Coturnix japonica: one gene and its partner. The protein of the gene in region 1 purifies or fractionates together with the protein of each later gene. This does not show direct contact. Links are inferred from orthologs where the notes say so. Each region holds a gene or a part of one and is shown in the gene's direction. Other genes may lie near its edges.

What was found.
Region 2: the proteins of PLK1 (region 1) and BICD2 purify together in Homo sapiens (affinity purification with mass spectrometry; 6 studies listed by BioGRID and IntAct, counting the BioPlex papers as one, with this or other methods). This does not show direct contact. The link is inferred for Coturnix japonica from reciprocal best matches to the Homo sapiens genes PLK1 and BICD2.

What each region holds. Positions count from the first base shown.
Region 1 is NC_029529.1:6,814,039-6,816,683, forward strand, and holds the end of PLK1 (serine/threonine-protein kinase PLK1), read left to right. Parts: intron 1-207; coding exon 208-362; intron 363-827; coding exon 828-1,010; intron 1,011-1,380; coding exon 1,381-1,587; 3' UTR 1,588-2,145; downstream 2,146-2,645. UniProt on the Homo sapiens protein: Serine/threonine-protein kinase that performs several important functions throughout M phase of the cell cycle, including the regulation of centrosome maturation and spindle assembly, the removal of cohesins from chromosome arms, the inactivation of anaphase-promoting complex/cyclosome (APC/C) inhibitors, and the regulation of mitotic exit and cytokinesis.
Region 2 is NC_029527.1:4,843,338-4,846,837, reverse strand, and holds part of BICD2 (protein bicaudal D homolog 2), read left to right. Parts: intron 1-6; coding exon 7-158; intron 159-3,500. UniProt on the Homo sapiens protein: Acts as an adapter protein linking the dynein motor complex to various cargos and converts dynein from a non-processive to a highly processive motor in the presence of dynactin.

The sequences.
Region 1 (2,645 bases):
TTGAAGTTGCTTATGCAGCAGATAATGCAGCAAAGGAGGGTGACAAACCCAGAGGAGAAAAAAGTGCCATCTCGACCTCTGTTAAAAGGAGGATCTTTAAAATTGATGAGGTGGCCTCCAGGGATCCCCTAGATGATCCAGCTCTGTATTTCATGTAACCAAGGGTCCCATGTGTGTGAAGGTCTGACAGGCTTTTTTTTCAACCAGGTTATCAATTATGTGACAACAGTGTTGGAGTTCTCTTCAATGACTCCACTCGTCTCATTATGTACAATGATGGGGACAGCTTGCAGTACATTGAGCAAAACAACACCGAGTCCTACTTCACTGTGAGATCCTGCCCCTCTGCCTTGAATAAGAAGGTCAGTCCAGAGGACAGGAGCCCTTGGTGGTGGGTGGCTGTTCCTGATGAGATTTCTGCAGGTCTCGTTGAGCTTTGCTATCAGGGTGGACAGTGGGGGGGGGGAAACATCTGTTACTGGGAGTCGCATTCAGCAGGATTCCTCTTGGCTGGTAAAATGTGACCCAAAAGAGAGTTCCTGGCAGCATCTTGCTTTTTTCTAGTTGCTAACTGAAGCTCATTTCTGAGCAGCTTCACATAAATAAACTCTCATGAAGCTGACATGTGCTGAAGCATTCAGCAAAATGAGTCTTGTACTCAGACAGTGAAGTTAACTCTGGTGGTGCTTGAGAACTTGCACCAGTTTGTGCAGTGACCCCTTAAGCTCTGAAAGACATAAGTCTCAATTTGTGGTAACAGCTCCTACTCTCCCCAGATATCAGGGCTCATCCTCAGCCTGTCTGTTGACAGCCTGTTCTATTTGCAGATAACACTATTGAAATACTTCAGGAACTACATGAGCGAGCACTTGCTGAAGGCAGGTGCTAACATTACACCTCGGGAAGGAGACGAGCTGGCACGTTTACCCTACCTCTGCACGTGGTTCCGGACCCGCAGTGCCATCATCCTGCACCTCAGCAATGGCACCGTGCAGATCAACTTCTTCCAGGTGAGGCTGTTGTACTGACTTGCTGCATTCAGTGCTTTGTGGTAAGGTGGTGATTCCTGCAGGCAGTTACAACCTGAGCTGAAGCTTTGCCCTGTGAACGTAGCACTAGAAGGCTCCTTGCTCTGCTTGCTGGTATTTAAGCCATCCAGCCATTCCTAGCTCATCTAGTAGTTGTTTCCTTTAGCATGAACTTGTTTCCCTTTGCTTCACTCTATGAGTAAGAGCTTTCTTGTTGCGGCTTTTCTGCAGTGTTGTGCTTTGTCAGCATGCTGCTGGCCTGCAGTTGGGGTGACCTTGCTGTGTTGGTTCATCCGAAGGAGTGAAAAACATTGCAGAGCAATGTGCTGACCTTGTGTTCCCTCCCCCACAGGACCACACCAAAGTCATTTTGTGCCCTCTAATGGCTGCTGTCACATATATAGATGAGAAACGGGACTTCCGCACATACAAGCTGAGCCTCATTGAAGAGCATGGATGTTGCAAGGAGCTGGCCAGCCGACTACGCTATGCTCGCACCATGGTGGAGAAACTCCTCAGTTCAAAATCTGGCTCAGCCCGTGTGAAATCCTCCGTTTAGGCTTTGGTCTTGATGGAACCAACATCTGTGCCAAACCGGCTCAGCTGTGGACAGGGAAGTTTATTAGCATCCCTTGTACTGTAACTTGCCATCACACAGCTGGGTTCCTGCTTCTGGGTACACTCTGATTGCCCCCAGGGAGCCCCTGATGCTGTGGTGATGGTGCTGTGTTCACTGTGAGTGGTGCACAAAGGGGTTTCTTGCTCTTCCCAATACAAAGTGTTTTTTTAAAATTACTTATATAGTCTTTTTTTTTCCCCATCCCCTTAACTTTTCAAAGCCTAAAGCCTGACTCAAACACCAACCCTCTTGTTGGAGGTTCCTGGGCCTTCTAATGAGATAAAGCGTGGGGTTCTCCCCAGAACGATCATGTAAGTTTTGTACATGTCTGTGCATGATGCTCTGGACTTTGTTTCCTTTTGTCACAGTACAACTAATGTATTTAACCTGCCCAGGTTGAGACTGAGCAATCTGCATTTTAATACTGAACTTGTTCTACATGCAAACTAAACTTTTGTATATTGTATAACTTGATTAAAGATTGTTCTTGGGAGTGTCCAGCCTCTCTTGGTTCCTTGACAGGGAGGCAGCAGCATGTTACTTGTAGATTCCTCGTGACCTATCATCTCCACCAGCTCTTCCCACCAGCTGCTGGCTGAGCTCAGCCTTGGATTTGCTCTTTGGCAATGCCAAAAAGAAAATAGAGAAGAGCCTTGGGGCTTATTGCAGGAGGAAAGCAGTTCTATGCCTCCCCTTTTCTGTTTGATCAGAGCCTTTGATTATGTTTCATGTTGTAAGTACTTTGCTAACACTGTAGTCATGCTGGACTGCTGCAATAGTCTAGTGCTGATGGCTGGCATCTGCTGCTGTTGTACAAGTCTGGTTTAAAGCAAGACAAGCTTTTTTTTTAATTATTATTATTTTGTAACATTCTGTATAAAATGTTCTTGGCCATACAGTGTTCTGAAGATAAACCAGGTACAAATGCCTTGTTACCTACAGTAACAAGATCCCATATTCCAGCAAAAAGAGGAATGGGTCTGCACAAACCCAGCTTG
Region 2 (3,500 bases), on another chromosome or scaffold:
TGGTAGACTGCAGAGGTAGCCCTTGCCAACTTAAAAAGCAAGTATGAAAATGAGAAAGCTATGGTTACGGAGACGATGATGAAGCTGCGGAATGAGCTGAAGGCTTTGAAAGAAGACGCTGCTACCTTTTCTTCCCTGAGAGCGATGTTTGCTACAAGGTAAAGAATATCTGAACTCTGCAAAGTATGTCATTCCTTGCTTGTGTGGGGAGAACAGCTGAGCATCCTGCCACAAGCAGCAAGGCTGCCCATGCAGTCAGTGGCCGGGTGGGGTGCCCTTACCTACATTCATTGCTTACAGTGTTTGTCTGCAGTGTGTTCTTATTGACAAGGAAAATGCTAGGGTGCTGCTACAAAACAGGAATTTGATGTAGGTTATTGAAGTAATTTGAGTTACTGTCCCTGTTGGCCATTATCCCTGGCTCCTGAAGTCCTGAAAGCTGAGGGCTGACATTTATCAATGTCAAATTAGCGCTTCTTATTCAATGAAGATGTCGCTCTGCTTGACCTGGAGCAATCAAGAAAACAAACAAACAAACAAAGATGCTGGCAAACACAGATGTACGTTATTAGGTGTGTGTGTGTTCATATACATTACAAACATAAAAGGTTTTCTTTCTATCATCAGCTAAAAAGTACCACAATAAGGAACCACAAGGATGTTGGTAATGATTCCTGTGGCTTTTCTGTATCTTTCTTTTTGTGGAGGCGGTTCTGCAGCATCATGAATGTGCCCTGAGTGACCACAGGCTTCCTGGTGATTCTGTCTTTCTCAGCAATATCTTTGTATATGAGTAAGCATGAAAAGGCAAAATGTAAACTAAGGAAGCTGAAGATGGAGTTGTAGCACCTCATTATGTTGGAGAAAGCAAAGCCCTGCACAGCATGCTTTTGTCCTGCTCTCCTTTTTTGGAGTGTGATCTAACATGCAGAAATTGCAATCTCTTTGTAGCTTTGTAACCGCAGTATAAAGCTTTTTAGCTTTAATAGCTTGAAGATAAGAGGAAAGGAAAAAATATACTACTGGCTTTCAGTTTTTTATCCTAGATGCAGACAGCCAGCTGCCTGTGTTTTCCTACATGTTAATTGTGCTGCCTCAGTGCTTTAGTGTGATTGTGATTTGGAGAGGAAGATTTGTCAGAAACAGCAGAGGAATCATTCTTTCCCTGCCTTATTTTGGTGTGCTGTCATCTGGAGGTCGATTTTGTCCTTTTACTGGAAAGGATTCCATAGCATATGAGGAAGGCAGAATAGAAGTTCTCTGTAAGGGTGAGTTCATCTCAGTACTATTAATCATATAAAAACAAGACTTATCTGCTACTGCAAACAGCTAATGGAACACCTACTAAGTACCGTCAGTCTCATTCCTGCTCTGGCCAAGAGGTTCCTATCAGCAGAGATGAGTAACAAGTGGTGGGTCCCTTAGCCCACCATACCATTTTATGTTTGACCGTGGGATGAGGCAGACAGCTGCATACACCTCTATTTTCCACAGGAAACAACCGTTTTGTAGGATACAAGAGAACTGAAACAATACATGTGAGTTGAAGATTGGGCGTGAATAGAATAACTGACCTAATTTCCTTTCCAAACTAGAGTAATCCTACTAATGTGACAATACTGCCAGCTATTTTTAATAAGTAATGAAAATGCAGTGAGACCTGAGGCTGGAGACAAAGGAAGGCTTGCAAAACACAGATTAATGGCTTCCAGCATTAAAGGAGCTATTGAGAAACTGTTGGGGCATTCTAGACAACACCGGAAGCCTAAAATTAAGCTGTCACACGAAGGAATAAATCAAGATATGCACAATGTACTGTGGAAGTGCATTCAGTAGCTGAGTCCAGATTTTCTTAATCAACACACCTCTCCCTGCTGTACGTACCAATGGGCTGAAAGCACTGGGGGCTGGGTTCAAATCTGCCTGGAAATGGAATTTACCTGCTTAATGAGACTGTAACAGCTCTTGCAGTCACCATATTGCAGAATAGATTGCAGTTAATGAAGATGCAATCATTTCTCTGTTAAAAAACTCAAAGAGAAGTTGAACTTTGGTTTTTTTGTATAGTGTTGAGAGGAATGGAGAGTTCAGGATTAGGTCTTCATCTTTCGCTACCCCCTTCAGTGAGGACCTGAGAAAAATGTCCTGCCTGGGGATGATAGCTTAGGAATTGCTTCTACTCTAGTGGCATAAAATCATTAGTTTCGTCTTCTAAAATAGGTCTAAACAACAAAAAAGAAGATTTTCTTTTGAATTCTAGAAGCGGGAATTTGCCATAAAAGTTTATGATCTGTCCTTGAGTGTTTTTATCAGTGGAAGTTCAGAGCGACTGCAGTACCCAGCTGTGTGGGGCTGACTGTTCCCTCTCTGTGCAGGGCACAATCCTTCCCACATGTTTGAAATTATAAGAGATTTATAGTTTGATTAATTCCTTTAATAGCTTTTACTAATGGACATTGATTACACATGGCTGATTGTAAACAATTTAGAAAACAAACTATAGCTGCTTATAAATTATACTATGTTTATAGTGCAGATGTCATAGACACTTATAAATGCAATAGCATTTATTATTTTCATTACACAACTCAGATGAGTTTTTAAAGCATGGAGTTGCAAGTGAGCAGCTGGCTGAAGTTCCACCAGACCTGCTTCTACCTGCTTACCTATCACCCTAAGCTGGCTGACCCTGAGCTGTTCTGTCCTTTTGTGGTGAGATGGTGACAAGTCTTTATTTAAACCTTGGCCTTCCAGTTAACAATCTAAATTGCATTCATTGTAAACCTTGTCCTCAGTCCTGGTCCTTGCAGTATCCGTGGAACTCATCTGCATCTGCCACCATCACAGAGCAGAAGGCTGCTATTGGAGGGGGAAGGTGAAGGAAAGAAGGTGTTAAAATTCAGTCTTTAATATTAATTTCTAACATAAAGAATGAGTTTGGAAGCAGGTGGCTAATATCCCTTACAGCTGAACTCGGTCAGTATTCATTTACATGTCATTTTAACTGCTGCTCTACTAACACGTTTCCATATTTTAAGGAAGATGAAAAACAGGGAGTTTAAATCTTCTGTGCCCTGATTTCTTACGTAGGCTGACAGCTTAATCTCTCCATGTAGAAGTGGGAGCAGTCGATGCTCTGGAAGCCTCCTTCAGTCACACCTCAGTCTTACTTGCTTGGAAATGGTGTTGTGGGCCTCACACTGACTGCAGGGGAGGGGTGGGAGGTTTAATTATATCCAGGTGCATTTGGTTACATCACTTATTTGCAGAACGATCTTGAGTCAGTAGTGAGTTCAGCTATAAATGGGACCACGTGCCGAGGTTTAAAGAAGGTAATAAGTAGGAATAAGGAAAAACTGGCACTGATCAGAGGTAGTGATGTGCAGCCTTTTCCTGTGGTAATATTTAATGTTCAGGACTCTTATTTCCACTGTGTAGGTATTTGTTTTTGTAGTTGGTTGTTTTTAGAATCAAGCGAGTGTTTCCTTAAAGTCTTCGTT